Linked DNA regions of Schizosaccharomyces pombe. The gene in region 2 interacts genetically with the main gene of each other region. Each region holds a gene or a part of one and is shown on either strand. Other genes may lie near its edges.

The links.
Region 1: mutations in tma23 (region 2) and hos2 together harm fitness more than expected from each alone (negative genetic interaction), as found in Schizosaccharomyces pombe (2 studies listed by BioGRID).
Region 3: mutations in tma23 (region 2) and chp1 together harm fitness more than expected from each alone (negative genetic interaction), as found in Schizosaccharomyces pombe (2 studies listed by BioGRID).

What each region holds. Positions count from the first base shown.
Region 1 is NC_003424.3:3,165,711-3,173,211, reverse strand, and holds hos2 (class 1 histone deacetylase Hos2), read right to left. Parts: upstream 3,542-7,501; 5' UTR 3,103-3,541; coding exon 1,798-3,102; 3' UTR 1,700-1,797; downstream 1-1,699. Other genes in the region: phenylalanine--tRNA (Phe) ligase alpha subunit Frs2, read left to right, coding at 1-160, 355-444, 513-1,628; png1 (chromatin modification-related protein), read left to right, coding at 4,170-5,021; tif211 (translation initiation factor eIF2 alpha subunit), read right to left, coding at 5,668-6,347, 6,454-6,624, 6,687-6,756.
Region 2 is NC_003424.3:4,967,875-4,975,138, forward strand, and holds tma23 (ribosome biogenesis protein), read left to right. Parts: upstream 1-1,968; 5' UTR 1,969-2,017; coding exon 2,018-2,131; exon of another isoform or gene 2,132-2,212; coding exon 2,213-2,305; exon of another isoform or gene 2,306-2,369; coding exon 2,370-2,771; 3' UTR 2,772-2,863; downstream 2,864-7,264. Other genes in the region: gab1 (Pig-U family GPI transamidase subunit), read left to right, coding at 272-663, 891-1,725; OUT family ubiquitin-specific cysteine protease Otu2, read left to right, coding at 3,315-3,674, 3,721-4,263; SPOM_SPAC1952.04C (uncharacterized protein), read right to left, coding at 4,552-4,788, 4,978-5,048, 5,143-5,156, 5,370-5,461; SAGA complex histone acetyltransferase catalytic subunit Gcn5, read left to right, coding at 6,242-7,264.
Region 3 is NC_003424.3:2,211,011-2,218,511, forward strand, and holds the start of chp1 (heterochromatin (HP1) family chromodomain protein Chp1), read right to left. Parts: upstream 3,336-7,501; 5' UTR 2,850-3,335; coding exon 1-2,849. Other genes in the region: Rab11 family GTPase Ypt3, read left to right, coding at 4,805-5,231, 5,476-5,556, 5,611-5,747; serine hydroxymethyltransferase Shm2, read right to left, coding at 6,177-7,501. UniProt on the Schizosaccharomyces pombe protein: Component of the kinetochore which plays a role in stabilizing microtubules and so allowing accurate chromosome segregation. Has a role in the RNA interference (RNAi) pathway which is important for heterochromatin formation and accurate chromosome segregation.

The DNA.
Region 1 (7,501 bases), 1.8 Mb from region 2:
ATTAGCTGCTAAAAACATGATTGAATTTTCAAGACATGAAATTGAAATTTACAATTTGACTGCAGAGGGTGAAAACATTTGCGCAAATGGTTCTCATGAAGCCAAAGTTTATAATGAAATTTGCGCTTCTATGAGCGGTTTAAATATTGGGGAACTCAAGGTAAAGTCATTGGAATCGTAGTTGTGAACGACGAAGCATTTAAATATAATTAAGTCTAAACGCCCGGTAAATATTGTTAGTTTTTTTTTTCTAGCATTATGTTGCATTTTCGATTTTTCGCGTTTTGATGCAACACCTTTTCATATCGCTACGTCTGCCTTTTAGTTTTTTTGTACTTTTTCTAACTGATTTAGAAAAAATTGGGGAATTCGGCTGGTATTGGTCAAGGAAGAGCCTTTAAACTCGGTTGGATTAAGAAAGATGGAGACAAGCTTGTTAAAAATGTAAGGCAAAGTTATAGTAGTGCAAATTGATTTAACGTTATGCAATATTTTATTTACTAACTGACCAGACTGATTCCATTACAGATGAGACCCCTAAGGTCCTTAGTGAAATTAAGGAACATGGAACTATCTCTGACAGTAAGACGTTAACTGATTTGAAGAAGAGAAAGCTTGTTGAACGTAACAAAATTATGTACTTCTCTTTGAGGAAAGGTCCAAATTTCTCGCTTCAAATTGAAAAACTGAACACCGATTTAACTGCTGAGATGATCACCTCTCGATCATGGGAAAGTGCCAAGTTTAAATCTTACAACTTTGCAGCTGAAGGTATACCTCCAGCTGGTGGATGTCTTCATCCTTTGATGAAAGTACGTGAAGAATTCCGTAAATTTTTCTTCGAATTGGGTTTTGAAGAAATGCCAACCAACAATTTTGTTGAAAGTGGATTTTGGAACTTTGATGCTTTATTTGTCCCCCAACAACATTCAGCAAGGGATGCTCAAGATACTTTCTTTTTGAAAGTTCCTGCTTCTACTGATAAATTGCCAGATCCCGAATATGTTGCTCGAGTAAAGGCCACTCACGAAAACGGTGGTGAGACTAAGGGCATTGGATACCGTGCTCCCTTTTCCTTGGAGGAAACTCGTAAACTAGTTCTTCGTACTCATACTACTGCTGTCTCGGCGAATATGTTGTACAAACTTGCCCAAAATGGCTTTCACCCTGCTAAATACTTCTCAATTGATCGGGTCTTCCGCAATGAAACCGTTGACGCAACTCATCTTGCCGAATTTCATCAAGTCGAAGGCGTAATCTGCGATAGAAATATTACCCTCGGTGATTTGATCGGTTTCCTTGAGGTGTTCTTTGGAAAAATGAACGTTAAAAATTTGCGCTTCAAACCTGCTTATAATCCTTATACTGAACCTTCATTGGAAGTCTTTTCCTACCACGAAAAGCTTGGTAAGTGGGTTGAAGTCGGAAACAGCGGCATGTTCCGTCCGGAGATGTTAGAGCCTATGGGATTACCTAAAGATGTTCGTTGTTTAGGTTTTGGTCTTTCTTTAGAGCGCCCCACTATGATCAAATATGGTGTGGCCGACATTAGACAATTGATTGGTCCTAAGGTTAACTTGGACCTAATTGAGGCTAGCCCTGCAGTTCGTTTAGACAAAGAGGAATAAATTTAGTGTTTTTTTTTGCATAATCGTTTATAAAAATAATACATAATCACTATGGTAAACGTATTTTCGTATAGGGTCAATTATTAATATTTACAATGTCTATAAACATTAACTAAAATTATTTGATGTTTGTACGGATATCAAATAAAAAGTCGAAAATTCATTAATATCAGCCTCGAACGCGAACATCCACAGCTTTGTCTAAGTATTCATCATTCAACCGTTCGTCTTCTTCTTCCAAATGCCCAGTTAAGTCTGGTGGAATTTGCTGCATCTGAACGCTTGGCGCTCCTCCTAAGTAACGTAATTGCTCCAAGGCCCGTATTCGAAGATCTTCAAGAGCTTTCGGTGTATTTTTATTTTCTATCTTCGTGGTTAATCGCGGATGGAGGGTGTAATCTGGTGCGAAAAATTCGTAATACAAAGTTTCACGAGGTAATTCTGAAGGTATTTGTTCGTTTACACATATGGAAGTTTCATAACACCACGCTCTAGCAACATTTCTAAGAGTATAACCACCACCTCCAACTACAAGCATGGGTATATTGAATGAACGGGTAAATCTAACACATTCCCCATGTGCATGGATGCTCAGATTGAACACGCCGAGCCGATCATAACCAAGCGAATCAGCACCACACTGAAGGACAATTGCAGAAGGTTGAAAAGTATTGATAGTTGGTTCAATTATGGATTTGAAAAGACTAGTGTACTGTTCATCACCAATACCATCTTCCAAAGGAACGTTTAAAGCAAAATATTTCCCTCCTTTCACGCCATTTTCATCAAAATTACCAGTTGCAGGAAAAAAATCACCATTATACTTGTGAAAAGAAACCGTCAACACGCGGTCAGATTCATAGAATGCTTGCTGCACACCATCTCCATGATGAATATCGATATCGATATACAAAACGCGAGGAAAAAACCGTAGCATGTTCAAAATTGCTAGAACAATATCATTAACATAGCAGAATCCACTAGCCTCACCACGCTTTGCATGATGGAGACCACCGCTCCAATTGATAGCAATGTCTGTTTGACCTTGCACTAACTTCCGAGAAGCATCCAAACTAGCGCCTGCCGACCTTTGAGAAAATTCATAAGTGCCGTCAAAGACCGGACAGTCATCACCAATATTGAATTGTTGGAACTTATCAGCAAATTGTTCAGCATTATCAGGAGTAACGCGCTTAAGGAAATCCAAATAATCCTCCCTATGAAATTCTGACATTTCACCAAAAGTTGCCATCCGGGGGCTGAATACACTCATTTTGTTATGCAACCCATAACCCATCACTAAATGATTTGTAATGGTAATTCGATGGGGCTTCATTGGATGTTTGTCACCATAGTGGTAGTTTCCCACCTGTTCATCTAAGTGATATGTGACACGCTTTTTTTGAGGTCGAAAGCTAAAAAAAGACCCCTTTTCAACTTGTTCATAAGGTGTGGATGTCTCAGGAGTATCCATGATATACAGACTATTATACTAAAAAAAACCGCGAGACAAATTAAATGAAAATATCTTTTCTAAAGAAAGAACAAGAAAAGAATAAATAAAATTAAGAAACAAATTAATAACTGTTTCAGAAGAAACAAGAGAAATGAAAGTTATTGACCAATGCCAAATTAATATAAATCGAAAAACAACCCAGATTTTTTTATAGAAAAGAATTCAATCCAAATAATAAACAGCAACACGAACTGTAAATACTTTATTTTTACGTCGAGCGCAGAATACGTAGCAAAAGGTCGCTAAACCCGATACCTTATTAGATAAAATGTACAACTTCAACAAAGCGTTAATTCAAACTCTTTGAAGCCCATAAACACAAGAACAAATAGGATTTACAATTTTTTGAAGAATTGCTAGTGCTGGTTCATTCTTATAACTTAAAAATGTATATCTCAGTGAACACAGAAGGAAGCTACCAACTTAGGTGTAGTTTAGTATGTTATGCTTCCATATATGAACTAACACATTAATAACGTATCGTTATTACTTAAACAGATGGTAACCTTTAGCATGTGAATTCATAGACAATTTGGCAACTTAGATATCATACATACGTTGAAAAGATTTATCTTCAAAGTGATTTGGTTTGCGTGAATTCTTATGTTTTTATTTCGCCCTCTTTGCCTTCCAGTACTGTGTTTACATTATATGGAGTGGCGGAACTCAACACCAAATGTGGGCTACTATAAACAACCGGAAAAATTTTCAGCAGCTTAAGAGAGTGTAAAAATAATCTTTAAACGACACAAAAACGAGCCATAGGTTCATATATATTATTTCAATTAGTGTCTTTGTCCTTCTCGTTTGTACATTTATTGTCACATTCCTCTACTTTAAAAGATAAAGTCATAGTATCTTTTATTCATTAGTTATTGAAGTATCGAAAATATTAGTGGAATATCAACTTTCCCTATCTCTTTAAAAGACTCAAATCTCCCTTTCTTTTGGAATTTGAAATCATAATAATAATTTTTGCATAAAGCGGAAATTAGAACGTATCTATAATTTTCAATTTGAGAATAATGGCAGATGATACAGCTTACATACTAAGTGAGTATTTGCAAACGTTGGATAATGTTCCCAACGAAACAAAACACATCTTTGACGAAATTAGTGTGAAGGAAGTTGCTGTACATGACATCTGGAAGAGAATTCAAGCAGCTGATTCTCAGATTCAGTCATACATTAAATCACATGGTTCCTTGACCCCACATCCAAAAGAAGATGCTTTGTATTCGACGATTCGCGAGGAGTATCAAAAGGCAATTAATATACAGAACGAGAAAGTCCAGTTGGCGGATCGTGCCAGATTGGGACTTACACGGCACATAAAGCGATTGGATGATAGACTTGCAAAGGCCGGTCATGGATTTACAGCTGCGGAATTGTTAAATGCTCCTGACTACTATGCTTCTTCACCGTATGGTGGATACAGTCCAAGTGGTGCCTCAAGTGCTCGTCAAACACCGGCCCCTTCTCGGTCGGGAGCCTCAACAGCTGGTCGCCGTCGTACTTCAGCAACTACCAGGGGTGCAATTCAAAATGGAGTCTATCACTCTCCTTATACGGCTTCGTTGGCAGATTCTGGTTCAACTCGCGGTCAGAAGGTTTCGAATGCCACTGCAACCACCCAGTTAGAAACTAAGGCAGATTCCACAACGCCGAATGAAATGGTCTCAGAAGAAGATATGGAAGAGGATAATGAAAAGTATTGTTTTTGCCAGCAAGGATCATATGGGCAAATGGTCGCTTGTGACAATGCTAATTGTGAGCGTGAATGGTTCCATATGGAGTGTGTTGGTCTTAAAGCTCCTCCTGAAGGTACATGGTATTGCGAAGCTTGTAGGGATCAGAAGCTTGTTGATGCTAAGTAATTTTTCCCCAATCTAAAGTCTGTTGGTCTTCCCATTATTGAATGCAAGCATTGTTGTTTTTTTTTGGGCTTTAATATCCGCTAATTTTTCACCTGTTCCGAACTTACTATATTTGATTATACGTTGTTCAAGCTGTGTATATGTGATTTGCAAAATGGTTAATTTATTAATCATATCTTCACGATTACGAATCCTTTTTATCTTATTCTTGTCCTTGTTTGTTTTTCACTCACATAATAAGTACCAGATTACTTGTACATTAAGAAATTCAGTTCTTTAATTTCCCCAATCCTCCCCAAAGCAGATATTACACGCCGTAGCTAACCACAGTAATAAGTCTTTTGTAACTTTATTATTTGTAATTGCATTTGTTGTCCATTATTTCTACTATATTGGAACTGAACTTATTATTGTACATACAAAGGAACAAGATGCAGCGTCTAGCGTTTTCATATTATCTCGTAACATATAAAAGAACTCTTACGCATTCGGAAAAAAGAAGAGGAAATTTTTTAACCATAGATATCACTAGATAAATTTGATAAAGTGTATAGTACAAAATAAAAAGAACCCCAGATTATAATGGAACACTAAAGTGCCAAAAATTCACAATGAAAAAGCGTATATTAGCTAGTGTCTAATCCATTTACTCAGAACCGCTTTGGTCATCCTCTTCATCACCAGAGATTTCAGCATTTTCCTTTTCAAATTTTTTCATCAAATCGGCAAGCTCCAATTCGTCAGTTTCACTAACCGCCTTGGGTTTCATTTTAACAGTACAGGTACCATTGGATGCTGTAATGGATTTTTCGATTGCACCAATTGCCTCTTCTAGCTTTTTGAGACCCAATGACTTATCTAATGCGTTTGTCAAAAGGACGTAAAGTGGAGGAGCAACAAGTTTAACTTTGATAGGAACCTCCTCGGTATGAACATCTTCAGCAGCCTTCAAAGCGGCCTTGATAGCGTTAATACCTTCGTAGCCAAAGCAAGTGACTTCAACGTCAGCACGAATTTTAATGGGCTGAGGCGTCAGACGACGAGAGATTTGAGCCAACAAATCATTAATAACACCCGATTTGGGAGGTTCTAAACCCTCAAAGACATGATCTGGGTTACTAATAGCAAGCTTAAAGGCGTCATAAGCATGTCCATATTTGCGGTATAATGGCCATCCAATTGTGGTATACATGGTCTCCAAAGGAACATTATGCTTCTCAGCAATATGGCGCATAATGGAATGAACAGCCTTAGATTTGTTGAAGCGTTCTTCGCACTTTACAACATCCTCAGGGCTAACACGGCGCTTTGAAAGATCGATGTATCCTTAATCCTGGTTAGTACATTCCTAACAACTTATAAACCTTTTTTCCCCTTTTGTTTTTCTTTTTTTTAAAAAAAAAAAAAAAAAAAACTACTAATAAATTCTTACCTTTTTCCTTGTCGACACGTAAGACCACGACGACTTCATTACGACCAACGCGAATATGCTTTTGTACTGAACGAATACGACGTCTGGAAAGCTCAGAGAGCAAAACCATTCCTTCAATATTATCGTATTCCAACAATTTTACATAAGCGCCCATCTCCTGGATTTGACGAACTATTGGAAATATTAGCCATTACCGTTTCTTTAGACAGACAACATGTGCATTTTTTACATACCGTTGACAACAACGAGTTCATCCACTTCCGGGAAGCGATTCTCGTACATTCTGCAGCTTGTCGTCGACATTTTTGCAAAGTGTTGAGTGTTTGGTTCTGAGTAAAAATTTGTGTGGACTACCCACTTCTAAACTCTAGGGGCCAATTTTGCTTCTTTTCAGAACCCAGACATTGGTCATTTTAACTTAACTGTTTATCAATAATTATTCTTTATATTTAAAAAGTTTCCTTAAAGAAGATTTATTAGTATCTAAAAGCACATAACGATCGGTGATAACTGGCTTACCAGCCGAACGCTGAATAAACTAGCAGTAAAGTATTTAATAAACTAAAGTGTTTAATAAACTACTAGTTTACTACATCGTTTAGAATTACAGATAATATACTTAAACTTTCTTTTCCCTCAAACGAAAATTACAATTGGAAAGTTTACGAATAGAAGACTCTGTCTAATTGATTCCACTTGTTCCTTTGACTAGAGTAAAGAATTATTTTATTGAAAAGTTGTTAATCCATTGCCTTACAAACCATCCATCACCGTTTTTTGGATTACAAAAAAAAGTGAGAACTCGTATTAATGAAATTCAAAAGGTTATCAATGCCAAACTCAAGAATAGTTGAGGAAATGTGTTTTCAACAGTCTTTGAATATAAACTATTACAAACAAACTTTTTTTTTTCAATGCGCTTCTCGTAGATACATTGAATCAAGAATGCATCTAAACTTAGTAAAGACAACCAGTTGAATATGTCTTTTATATAAATATAAAAGTTCTTTAACACTTGTTCATGAAAATGAACAAGATGTGGTACTAA
Region 2 (7,264 bases):
ACCGAGTGCTTCAATACCATAATTTCTATACCAGGTAACTTATGTTACTCAACCTGTGGTAGTGGTATGAACGTGTAAATATTAACCTAAAACACTCTTCTCGTTTTAAAGAAAAAATAAAGAAATAAAAAATTAAAAATCTTACTTTGGTGGCTGCCTTAAAAGTTTTTCAAACGGATCATTTGGGATACCCAACGACTGTAATTTAAACGAAGATTGGTGAATTGAAAACACAAATATAACCCATCTTTTGAACAGTGAAGATTTTGCAATGATACCAAATGAGAAGCTAAAACTATTAGGTTTATTATCAATTTCTTTTTTTCTTCAATGGTATTTAGCAAACACTTGGATTGCTGAATTCCTTTACAGGCGAATCGAAGTATCGACGCCTGTATCCGGATTTTTACGTGTTCGTGAAGGACTTTACTTGTATGAAAACGGACTAGACCCCTATTCTGGTGGTGTTTTCTATCAGTCTCCACTTCTACTGATCTTAAATTATTGTTGTGAGTTGCTTGGAGGAATATCTGTCACCAGATTTGTTTATACTAGCATTTCTACTATGGGAGGTCTCTTTGTGTATTTAATTGCAAAACAAGCTCGTGTTTTAGACCCAAATCAAGTACTATCTACTTGTTCACCATTATGGATTTCCGTCATGTAAGTTACGCATATGGCTTGCGACAAAAAAAGTGAGACATTCTTCAAAAAAATGAAAAGCATTGTATCGTTGGTTTACAAAATTGTTAACGATGACTGTTCAAAGATTGAACTGCGTTGATTACACAGATTTCGTAGTCGATATTGAAAATGTGTACTTCTGTGATATATTTGTGTCGCAAACAAGTATCCTTAACTCAAAATTTACTAACAAAATATTACTTTAGTTATCTGCTTAACCCATTAACATTTCTTCCAGGAATTGCTTGCTCCGCAGACATGATACTTAATTTCACCACTCTAATGACCATTTATTTCGCCTCTTGCGGATCCTATGCAATTTATGCATGCTGTATGGCATTGACTGTATTCATTAATCCTAACGCTTTACTGTTATTTTTCCCCTCCTATCTTATTTTAAGAAAATGCAATTCATCCATTAAATTTCGTCAGATATTCGTTGTTTTTCTTTTTTATCTTGCAGGTCTGATAATAACTTCAGGCTTCTTTCTGAACTCGTTATCTTTTTTGAAAATTCCATTTAGGGTATACTTGGACTCTCATGATCTAACTCCGAATTTGGGTCTCTGGTGGTATTTTTTTACAGAAATGTTCAATGAATTTCGCACATTCTTCCTTTTTGTATTTGCCATTTTACCATTGATGTTTGTTCTCCCTGTTTCGATCCGTCTTTATTATCTGCCCTTGCCTATTACTATTGCTCTTATTGGCCTGCATTCTTTATTCAAAGCTTACCCAAGTATTTGTGATCTTTCAATATTTTTATCTCTCCTCCCAATTTTTAATAAAGTCCAAGACCGAATGCGATATAGCTTGCTTACAAATAATGCTATTGTGTTTGCGCTTGTACTGGGATCTGCATTTTACCATTCTTGGATAACTCTTGGATGTGGAAATGCAAATTTTTATTACGCAAGTAACCTCATTCTTGCTCTTGGACTCTCTTTAAAAATCATGGACTTTCTCAAGGCACTGCTTTTGGTTGATTGGTATGCCAATCACCCACAGCATGAAAATATTCCATTAAAACAGGTTCAATAAAGTAATCTGTTAATTAGAAAATGATATTCTTAGGCTTCATCTATCCAATTTCATCATTAGAGCCTCACCTTTCTGACCTTACGAAACGACCTTTTCCAATTTAACGTTTAGAAATTATTTATTCATACATACAAATAGGAAATTTATATTTCATATTTTTTTCCTTTTCCGAGACGATTCAAGGACTTTTTTTATTTTTTTTCATATTAGGTATTCATGGCATCCCATGGCACTACTCCCTTTACCACGAAGTACCCATGAAAAGTTTTATGCAAAACTTCATCAGCCATTGATGTTTAGTTCCAAAAGATATTTGAATTCCTTTGGTTGGGAGGAAGGAAACGCTTTAAAAGAAGGAGGGCTCACCAAACCAATTTTAACTTCTAGAAAATATAATACTCATGGGGTATGTCAGAATAAAAAATCTTAGAAAAAGATGGGTTTTTTCAGTAAAGTTATGTATGAATTTATTTTTAACACACGGTAGCTTGGTGCTAAACATGATATTGCTGATCAATGGTGGGATAATGTTTTTTCTGCTCAACTACAGTCAATTCAAGTAAATACGGACAACGGAAAGGTAAAAACAACTTAAATATACAATTTTTCCTATCTCTTTTACACAGTGCTAACATTTGGAAAAGGTTGCAGTCCAAAGCAATGGTGTATCTACAAAATTGAGAATGGCAAAATATCACAGCAAATATTCTGCTCTGTCTTCTGTGTTTCGTTATGCTGGTCGACTTTGTGGTACCTTTGAGGAAGATTTAGTTGATAAGAGTCTTGATTCCTCTGTTTCTCCAGTATCGTCCAAGAAAGTCAAAGTCAGAAAAACTTCTGGCAAAGAGTCTTCAAAACGAGAGAAGTCCAAAAAGAAAAAAGAAAAGAAGGAGAAGAAGGACAAGTTGAAAAAAAAATCCAAGAGATTAAAATTAGATGATTCTCATACTCAAAAACGAAAAAGAAAGGTTCGTGACAAAGAATCAAAAAAATCGTCTAAAAGTGGACTTAAGAAGGTTTCGGGTACTAAAAAGGTAAAGGCTTAAAAGGAAAGAAAAATCGTTTGCCTAGCTTTAAATATGAACAAGAATTGGAATTCTTTATTTTACGATTCGTCCAGAAGTCTTCGAACATCCAAACAGCAAGTTTTCTAATTCTTTGAAGTTTCAAAAACACACTTTATTTAAAGCTTTTTATTTGTTTTTCTTGTAGTTTCATTTCGTTTATCAGCGGGCATACATTTGTTGAACGACGGGGTGTATTATATGGGTATCAAAGAATTTGGTATTTGGAAACAGGAGTCTAATTGTATATAAATAATTAATAAATTATTAGAATTGAATTGTTTTACAAATTAAATGATGTTTAATAGGATCCTAGTAAAGAATATATATTTTATTATAAAACTCTGCATTGGATGATTGAATGTTTACAAAATGAATAAAAGGCTATGCATGGAAAGGGAATATTATACTATGTAAATATAATGTCTAAATGAATTAAATTGGAAGCATCGAATGAGATGTCCATTAGCATATTATTACACTCAAACTACCATACCAACTCAACAAAAACGAAAGTCTAAAAAAATGGAGGAATTGTTAAGTAAGCAACGGGAAGAATGTAAAGAACTTCAAAGCAAAATTACAAACCTTCGTAAACAACTAAAGGAAGGAAATAAAAAACAAAAAAGGGCTTTGCAGCAAAAAATCTCACAAATGGAAGCCGATTTATCACAAAAACATGCTACAGAACGACAAAAATTGGATAAAGGCGATGAAGAGACAAATGAAACGCAGCAAGAAGATCTCCTCAATACGCTTTTACAACAGATGGAAGATACGAAAATTACGACGGCAGAAAAATCATCAGTTCAGTCCTCATTGAATACTAAAGAAAATACACCGCAACAGCCTAAAAAGTCTAGGAATAGACAAAAAGAGCGACTTGTAAGTGCTTAACTTTTGACGAATTATCACTAACAAAGTTAATTAGGAACGACGTAAAGCAGAGATGAAAAAAATGTCTGAGCAGGCAGAGCTAGAGTCAGAAAAAATGGCTGATCTCAAAAATGAAGAGAAAAAAAAGTTTTCAAAAATCCTTGAGGAAGCTGGACTTGTTGCAGTCGATATACCAGCGGATGGAAATTGTTTATTTGCTTCCATTTCACATCAGTTAAATTATCATCATAATGTTAAACTAAATAGCCAAGCTCTTCGTAATAAATCCGCTGATTATGTATTAAAGCACTGCGAACAGTTTGAAGGCTTTTTGCTAGACGAAGAATCTGGAGAAGTTTTGCCAGTATCCGATTATTGTAACGAAATTCGAAACAATAGCAAATGGGGAAGTGATATTGAAATACAGGCATTAGCAAACTCTCTTGAGGTTCCTGTTCATGTCTACAACACAGAAGGTCCAGTTTTAAAGTTTAACCCCTCAACGGTCAAGTTCGAAAAACCGTTGTGTATAGCATATTACCAGCATTTGTTTGGGCTTGGCGCTCACTATAATAGTTTATTATATCGGGACAATTAAAAAGATCTAATGAGATGCTTTAGATAGGTTTTTATCCTTTGGTTTATTAGCTTCCTTCCTCGCCGGAAACCATTTAAAAAGGCTGTGCCTTACGAGTTAGATTATATGAATAATATTTATGAATTAAAACTCTTCTGTATTCTATTAATCAAAAAAAAAAATTAGCCATTATTATCTATCATATCCAGTCATATAGTATGCACAATAAATATTACCAAACATGCTTAGAAAGCTTCATCAGGGAAGCATTAGAAACGGTAGAACAATAAATAGAATTAAGGTAGAACATTACTTGTAGCTGTAAGGGGGTGGTGCCTCATCACTTTTTCTTGGAGGCGGTATATGTGGTTGAGGACGAACGTTAGGAATATCGGTTTGTTGCGAACTTGAGCCAGGAAAAAATGCATGCTGTTGAGCACTCGCCTCAGGTCTTTCGGGAGTAGGAAGATCTTCACGCCTGCGCCTTTGATCAATCATGGCCGAATCTACTGGTTCATACCACCCACAATGAGAACAACGAAGTACCTGCTCTGAGTTAGCAAGTGAGTGCTTATTAGTTGGACAGCAAAATAATCCCAACTTTCCCTGGAAAGCATGTAACATTGAAGATTGAAGAATGGCTTAGAAAATAACAAACAAGGTCTGTCAGGTTTCCAAACAATGATAAGTAGAAAGGGTCAACTACATAACATATGCTTTCTTGAATTCCCTTACCTTACTCGTATAAACCGGGAGAACAGGCAAAACGATGAGTGCTAAAGATTTAACCAAACGATATACCCGAACTAAAAACCAAAGTTTTACGTTAACATTAATAAAACAACCCAAAGAAAGAGCAATTGCCTTCATGCAACTACACCACTTATATGTGTCTCATACCAGTTTTATTTTGGCTAAAAAGAAAGTATTAGCAAAAAGTGCTGATGAAAAGAATAGAAGGAAAACAAGAAGACTGCTAGAAACTATTTTTAAATGACAAATTTTAATAAAAAACAAGTGCGTAATTTCTGAAAACAAAATGTTTCTACAATTGTTCCATTTCCACTTCGCCATTTAAACAATGTACTCAATCCACTTGTTTTAACACTAATTCATTGATTTCATACCATACAGGACATGTCAGTAAGACGTGCTTATATTTGCTATTGACTTTCCATATGTCTTGAACATTCAGCGGTATCGGCAAGAAGAGGAACATCTCACGTTAAGAGTCTTAAAATCTTCTTTAAAAAAAAAGAAAAGAAGTTGGATATTATAATGAATAATTCGAGTTAAATCCAAAATATTCGTTTTAGCAGAGTCACTCCATTAGTACGTAGACTAAGCCTCACAGTTAGTGTAATATCACAGAAAATATTTTCGTTAGCTTTATCGCTAAATACATAAAAGAATATCATCACAAAAAGAGGTATTGCTAACGAACTACGGTGCGTCTCTATATTTAGAAGCAACACCAATAACTTCAAAAAATGAAAGCAGAAAATTCGTAGAGAAGAAATTTTCTAATCTTGCATCCCAAGTCAAATCATGTATTTGTGTCTTTAATTAGTAAATATTAGGATAATCGTTGATTTGAAGTATTAAAAAATTGATTGTATTTTGGAGCGCAAATCTGAGATTTTTTTTATAGATTAAAAAATTCTCCTTGATACGGTCATTTTCGGTTGACTTGTGTTCAAACTCTTTCTATAAAAAGAGGTTCTTTTTCTAAGAGAATCCCTGCCGAGTTTCCTTAAGTTTTAGAAAGGTAAAGGGCTGGTCGACGTCTTTTCACATTGTTGGTGCCAAAAACAAAATTTTCGAGACAAATAACTGGGTTCGTGGTGTATATTTTAACAAATTATCGTTTATTTTAATTTTCTGTATTTCGTTATTATATACCGTTTTTTCGTGCTCGTTTCATCTTGTATCGTTCTTGACAATTTCTGTATCTTCACTTTTTGGATTTATTTGTTTGGATGCGTGGCATAGAATAATCATGTCGAATTCGTTAAATGATCAAACACGACCACCCGATTCAAGTGTTGTAGACAGTACATCTTCCAACTTTCCAAATGCGTCAAACGATAGTGTACATGATAAACCGGTAAAACAGGACGAACAATCCAATCCAAATGTTCGCGAAGCAATTGCTAATTCCGATGGACAAGAATCTTTAGCTGTAAAGGAAAACAAGGATACGGAAAGCTCATCCTCTCATTTCGTACCTAACGGAGTTTCAAATTCTAAAAAGAGAAAGCTCGTGGCTACAGATTTAGATGTTGATTTTGATATTAGTAGTGTACGAGTTACTGAAAAGCCATCTGTATTAGAAGAAAAAAGCGGCGTTATTCAATTTCGTGTTGTTTCTAACGACGACACCGCCGACAGTATGATCATGTTGACTGGTTTAAAAAACATATTTATGAAACAACTTCCTAAAATGCCAAAAGAATACATTACGCGGCTAATTTATGATCGAAACCATCTTTCAATGACCATTGTCAAAGATAATTTACATGTAGTGGGCGGTATTACTTATCGTCCATTTGAACAACGAGGATTTGCCGAAATTGTATTTTGTGCGATTGCTTCCAATGAACAGGTTCGTGGTTATGGTTCTCATTTAATGAATCATTTAAAGGATTATGTCCGTGGAACTACTACAATTCAGCACTTCTTGACATATGCAGATAACTATGCAATCGGGTATTTTAAAAAACAAGGATTTACTAAGGAAATTACTCTTGACAAGTCTATATGGGTTGGCTATATTAAGGATTACGAAGGTGGCACACTTATGCAATGCACCATGATTCCAAAAATAAAGTATTTAGAAGCTAATCTGATTTTGGCTATTCAGAAAGCTGCTGTTGTTTCCAAAATTAACAGGATCACTCGGTCGAACGTTGTTTATCCTGGTTTAGACGTATTCAAAGATGGTCCAGCTCATATAGAGCCGTCTCAAGTTCCTGGGTTGATGGAAGTTGGATGGTGCAAGGAAATGGAAGAGCTCTCCAAA
Region 3 (7,501 bases), 2.8 Mb from region 2:
TTGAACTCATCATAGTCAACAATGTCAAGGCCATTAACTGGCGTCAATTCATTTTTAAGCTCGTGAATCAATACGAACCTTCTATATTTATCATAATTTTTTTTCTGGTACAATTGTAGAGTGCTGGCTAAAGATACATCAGCGCTATCATCGATCACAATATCCCAATCCTGATACAAAGTCACGTTCTTCAGCGCTGGGTTGGTCAGGTAGCGCTGGAGTGTATTCAATAAGTTTTGAATTTCCAAGAGACTTTTGTCTGGATTGTTTGTTACAAAATAGCTCTTGACCATATCCACAATTGATGGGGGTAGAATTAAAATCCATGAATCTTTTTTAATCTCAAGAAATGGACTAATGAGTTCCAAAAGCCGTGGTGTTTTTATAAGTGCTGAGAGTGTAACAGATACCACCCCACCCTTAGGAAACATCGGTCTTAAGTACTGTGAATATGTCAACTTATCAAGGGGTTCATTGTTTTTCTTAAAGTCCGTACCCACGTGTGAATCATTAGGACTTTTGAGAGGGAGTGACAAACCAAATAAGAAAAATTTACAACTTTTCCTTTTCGCCAGTGTTAAAAATTGCAGTTGATCAAAATCATCCTCTAGTGAGACATTCAGGAAAACAAAAACATTCTGTGATAAAAACAAAGATTCCGGAATCTCGAGTCCTCGAAATGTCGGAATAGCAGCTTCTCTAAAAGTATCCTCCAATTCTTCTGCCTCCGGAGAAGGCTGTTTAGAGACAATTAAAATTTGTGTAGCTTGAAAAGCGCCTATTTTATGTAAATCGATGTGGCCTAATTGTAGTAAATAAGACAAGTAAGATTGGGATTTATGATATGGCTTTTTAGGCCTTAGATTTTTTGCCGACCATTCGACTAGGATTGATTCTAAAGGTTCAAAAATCACCATCCAAAAAGGGCTATTGCTTTGGCCTTGACAATCGTATAAATTCATTAAAGCATTATTATCCTCTGTAAATAATAATAATGTATAGTTACTACCCAGAACGATGCCAGCACCGTTGCCGCGGTTTAGTATATTTTTAAAGTGAGTCATATCAACATCGCTTCGAATACAAAGACTTCCGGAAAGAACTTTAGTCAAGCAAGTACCAAATACCTCGAGATATTGTGAAGTAACAAAACGTAAAACATCTACTTGCTTGCAACTGACTAAACTTCGTAACAACTGTTGATGTTCAGTTTCCGCCTTAAGCTTGGATATATCAAATGACAATTCTCCAGCATAGTAGAGAGATTTTCCGACTCGCAAAACGAATCTAAAATAATCAGACAATGTGCTTGCTGAAGAAAGATCTTCGGATTCGCTTATCGAATGGTGAAGAGAGTTATCCGAATTTAAAGTAATATTACCAGCCGGAACTACTTTGCTAGCTCCATCATTTTCAAAAGTTTGATCGCTTTTAGAAACACTGTTCCAGTCGTTATTAACAGTAGTCCAACTACTTCCGATAACACTTTTCTTAAGCTGCTTAGCATCTTCATTCGTCACGTTTACGTTGAAATCGAAATTTTCGTCCAGATCGACATTGCTAGCAAATTTTTCCGACTCAGAAAGGGTATCTGTTGTTGTTTGTGTAAAAGAAACGGACCTTGCATTTGCTTTCTTTGAAGGGGTTGTTTTTAAAATAGACTTTGAGACTTTACATTCTTCCATATCAGTTGATATCTTCCCTTTTACTAAAGTTACATGCCAACTTGGATGCCCTTTATCATACGCAAGTTTGGCTTGTTCGATAGAATCGAATTGAATGTAGGCCATATTACAAACTTTGTCTTTCTTTGGTGATTTGAGAAAAAAGACCTCAATATTTCCTTTGATAAAAGCAAAGTACGATAAAATATCTTGCTTCGTTAAAGAACCAGAATTATCACTAACTAATATCGTATGCGTTTCTAATTTCGGTGCTTCCTTTTTTATCTTCAAAGAGGAAGGAAGAGGAGTCGAATTGCTAAAAAATAATGAATTGGCAACATCATTATCGGAAGTTATTACTGGCGACAGACTTAAAGGGCTTGAATGCCTAAAGGTTGACAAGGGGGTGTTAGATTGTGGTGAATTCGCATTTTCAACAAAAGCGCCAGTATTTTCAAGATTGTTCGAATTTTGAATTCCGGGAACTGAGTTGTCAGAGTCACTGGGCATCAACATTGTGCTTTTAATTTCGCCATTTTTCAAAGGTATTGCATCGCTGGAGAGGCTTTTGGACAATAAAATACTGTCGGTAACTGTAGGCCACTCTGATAAGTAGAAAGGATTAACATCAGGGCTAGTTTCACCAAACGATGTGGATAGCGTGCTAGTTTTATCGGTCAAATTCCTCTCCTTCAATTCCCCTTGCATACTTTTTCTCTCAAACGCATCCTCATCCATTGTCTGATCGTCCTCTTCCTCTTCATCATTTGCGATGGTTACAATCCTTCGGGCAGGCTTCTTACGCATCTTTTTGAATTTTTCTTTGACTTTTTGAGATAATTGGGTAAGCTCGGATTTGCGCTTTTGTCTTTGTTGCCTCAATATCTCCTTTTCTCTCTTCATTTTCTTTGCCTCATTATCTTCCGCATCGAAAGGTTCAAGCAAGCCTTTAGCAATTAACTTTTTCCGTTTTTTCCATTTTTTAAGCACTTTTTCCGCACCGAATAAATTTTGTTCAGGTTCCCAAGTATTATCATACCAATCATAGCCAGCCCATTTTATATAATATTCGTTTATGCCATTTTTATTTACGCGGTCAGCAAGGATATCTTCCACCTCATAAACATCCGCGTCTGTCTCACCTTCATTCGAGTCAATATCAGGAAGTGGTTTAACAGATACCATTTCAAGGTAGCGGGTTTTTTGCTCACCTACGTGTCGCTAAGAGAGATTGAAGTATTACAACAAAAAAATATATAAAAGGATAAAGATATGAATTTAAAAAAAAAACGGAATTAAGCAAGATTGAATAGATTCCTTGACAAAACTATTAGCCAAAGTTCTTCCCTTTCAACTACTTTTATAGTTGCATGAAGGGCAGAGTATAACCTCTAAAATGGCTCAAATATTTCCCTTTTGCTTGTGATTTTTTTACCAATGGAACACAAGAATAACAACAGATAATTCCAGTAATGAAGCTTTTAGATGTTAGAATTTCGAAGTCTCGCTGCAATAAGCAAGATGGCTTATGCACTCGAATTTTGGAATCAAACAAAATCCGCGTGATTTTACCGTCGTGTCACCAACGCAAACCGTTAAATATACAAAAAAATAAGTTTTCGATTGGGTTTGGAGTTTTATTGCATTAATCAAGTGTGTGAGGTTGAGGTTGCAGATTTGAAGACACCTATGGAGACATATGTACTTTGAGAAAATACTCACTAACCACTAGTGTTACTAGTTGCATACATGAGGTACTAGTAGTCAAAAAACTTTGTTGGTAAATTGATAAATGTTTAAAATTTTCTCATTCCTCCTGAACTTCTAATTTTATTTTCTGGGTGGTTGTGTAAGTTAGAAAAACTTTAAACAAATAATGAATTTTGTTTTCAAAAAGCTACAATGAGTAGATTTTGAGCGCTGCAATTTATTAAACGATGCGTTTATACATAATACCTCTAAATGTGTTAACTCTATATAAACGAATTCAACACAACATATCATTCCAAAACTGGTAGTACAATAAGAAAAGTAAATAATTACTACGATAGAAAAAAATGATCGTGCCAAGACTCGAACTTGGGACCGTCTGCGAACTAGCATGTTAAGCAGAAATTATAACCATCTAAACCACACGACCTCTTTTGATAATTGCTTGCATTAATTTTATATAGAGGTTAACCAAGGGATCCATTTACTTATATTATTACGGAACTATGTTATTCGTTTTCCATGAAATGAACTTAATAAGAAAAACTGTTTATGTGCAGGATTTTTTTGTTTCTTGTTAACCCAAGATTTGCCAACGATAATTATTCGATGGATTACTCAAGTAACTTTCTGCATGAAGGATGCCTGCATGCCATGAGCAGCATCCAACATTGTATAACTTTTGCATAAAGAAAAAGATTTCAATTGAGCCGCCAATTTTATTCTTTCAAATTTTTAATTTCGATCATTGTGACCATTATAAAAGTGAGAAAAAGCTGCTGAAAAAACCGGAACTTAAAATATTCTTTCTTTGGCTAGATAACTTTGTAACTTGGAAATCAAAACATTGCTTTCAAAGAATTTCTACATCATTGTTTGATGCAGGACTAAAATGGGTATAGTACTGACTAATCGCACTGTAAAAACCCATACCAACCCGTCCATATCCAGTTTTGCGATTGGGTTCAATCGGTCATTCATATAATTGATAGTACTTGCATTCAATTGAGTACTTGCGCTTCTTTATATCAAAGGCATTTTAAAATGTTTACAAAATAGCGCTTTATAGTGAACAACAGCATAATGATTTTGATGATAGCAATCACTAAACGACACCAGCCTTCTCATGATTACGACATTCTTTGTAACGCAGTATAATTATTTAATGAATCATTGGAATGCGTTATATGCATTTTAACGGCCAGTGGCACTAGTGGACTTTTTTTTGTTACCATGATAAAGGATTATTACTTCCTTAGGTTTTCTGATATCCCTCTGCAACTTACCTACAACAAACTACGACTAAGTAAATTCTTCGACTATCGAAAGCAGGGTTCATTGTAATTTACAGGTATATACCTTGATATTATTTGACCTTAAATATTTGTTAACAAAAATTGTTCGTAGATTTACCGATAGAGAACTTAGCCATGTGTCAAGAGGACGAATACGATTATTTGTTCAAGACTGTGCTGATTGGGGATAGTGGTGTTGGAAAGTCAAACCTACTTATGCGTTTCACTAGGAATGAATTTAATATCGAAAGCAAGAGTACTATTGGTGTTGAATTTGCTACTAGAAATATTGTTCTTGACAACAAAAAAATTAAAGCACAGATCTGGGATACTGCCGGTCAGGAACGTTATCGGGCCATTACCTCAGCTTATTACCGTGGTGCTGTTGGTGCTCTGATTGTTTACGATATCACAAAACAATCTTCATTCGATAATGTGGGCCGCTGGTTAAAGGAGCTTCGTGAGCATGCAGACAGCAACATCGTTATCATGCTTGTTGGTAATAAAACGGATTTACTACATTTAAGAGCTGTATCTACTGAAGAAGCCCAGGCATTTGCTGGTAAGTAATTTTGTTGGTGAGATATGGAGTTGTTCGGACGGGAAGTAGTGAAACCGGCTTTAGCCGCTCTCACTTTATTCCGTTCATCGTTTTTAGCAATTTTGAACTGCTTGAAGCGTAGAAGATCTCTTTTTGTTTTGAAATATTATTCACCTTGTCGATTCCATTCTCTGTTTATTAAGCACATTTGTTTGCCTCTGATTCGTCATAATTTTTTGAACATAATTAACTAATGTTTTTACAGCTGAAAATAACTTATCTTTTATTGAAACCTCCGCCATGGATGCTAGCAATGTTGAAGAAGCTTTCCAAACAGTTTTGACTGGTATGTTTATTCGTACTTGCTTTGATTTCTTCAAGTTTTACTAATCTAGCGTAGAAATTTTCCGAATTGTCTCCAACAGATCACTCGAGGCTGGAGACGACGGTGTTCATCCTACAGCTGGTCAAACGCTTAATATCGCCCCTACCATGAATGATCTTAATAAGAAGAAGTCTTCTTCCCAATGTTGTTAGATGGTTATCACGGATTCGTACCATTATTTTACCTCGTTTCTCTTCATTTAAAAACTCCACCCCTTTATAACATTTAAGGTGCCTTATGATTATGAAATCTTTAGCAGGTTAGTCAACCATTTATTAGGGCTGTATCCTTTAATAAAGGGGTAGATATTTTGCCTAATGCTAATATTGTCTACTATGGATTTACCGTCCTTCTTTATACACGCTTCAGCATAATTTTATCCCCATTCCTATGCAGCATATAAGTGTAACACATTATTACCTCTGTTTATTATATGATATTTGTAGGGTTACTTTAATAGAGAATTTGTCCAGATATTTTCATTATTCATACAGCTCATGTTTAATTTCCATGATATATCCTTTATAAGAGAAAGTAACAGATGATAAGTATGAGATAAGAGCCAAAAAGTTAGAGACAGCTTAAACGGGGAAATCAAATTTTCCAGCCCAAGTTATAACTTCTTTCTTCAGTTTGGCGATTTCAGAGAATTTAGAACCATCACCCACATATGCTTTGAAGTCTCTAAACTTCGATTTTCCTTCCTTCAAAGCAGCTTCATTTATTTTCTTGGTCAAAGATACAACTTCATCAATTAGCTCTACCACTCTCTCAAAATCCTTCTCATCAAAACCGCGAGTAGTGCAAGCTGGAGTTCCCAGACGTAATCCACGTGGAATTAAAGCAGACTTATCTCCGGGCACAGTATTCTTGTTGGCAGAAATATTTACAAGCTCTAAAATACGTTCGACACGGGCACCATCTACACCTTTGTCGGTCAAATCAACAAGAACCAAGTGAGTATCCGTGCCACCTGAAACTAACTTATAGCCACGAGTAATAAATGCATTGGCCATTGCCTTGGCGTTACTTAGAACGTCCTTTTGGTATTGATAGAATTCAGGAGTTTTTGCTTGTCCAAGGGCGACAGCTAACGCAGTAATTGTATGATTATGGGGGCCGCCTTGATGTCCAGGAAAAACTGAGAAATTGATTTTATCCTCTAATTCATATAAAATTGGATTACCACGTTTATCGTGAGAACGAGTACCTTTTCGATAAAATATCATAGCTCCTCTCGGTCCACGTAAAGACTTATGAGTCGTCGTAGTAACAATATCGGCGTATTCAAACGGAGAAGGAATTACACCGGCAGCTACTAAACCGGATATGTGAGCCATATCACAAAGCAAATAGGCATTGCACATTTCCGTAATTTTACGCATACGCTTGTAATCAACGAGTCGTGCATAAGCACTAGCGCCTGCAACTATAACTTTAGGACGAAATTGTATCGCAGCCTTTTCCAAACTATCATAGTCAATAATACCAGTTTCCTTATTTACGTTATATGGCATGGTGGAAAAATAAGTCGAGACAGCTGAAATAGCTTTCTGGGGAGTAGAGAAACCATGAGATAAATGACCGCCATGGGGTAAATCTAAACCCATTAGGCGATCGTGTGGCTTCATTACTGCTTGATAAGCCTGTAAGTTGGCCGGAGACCCAGAATGGGGTTGTACATTTACTCCCCATTTTTCCCCATCCAAATGAAAAGCTTCTAAAGCTCTCGTTTGACATAGTCTTTCAGCTTGATCTATAAATTCATTACCACCATAATATCTTGCACCAGGATAGCCTTCACTATATTTGTTTTGCATAATACTTCCGAGTGCATCCATCACAGCTCTTGAAGTAAAGTTTTCGCTAGCAATTAAAGCTATCGACTCTTTCTGACGGCTTTTCT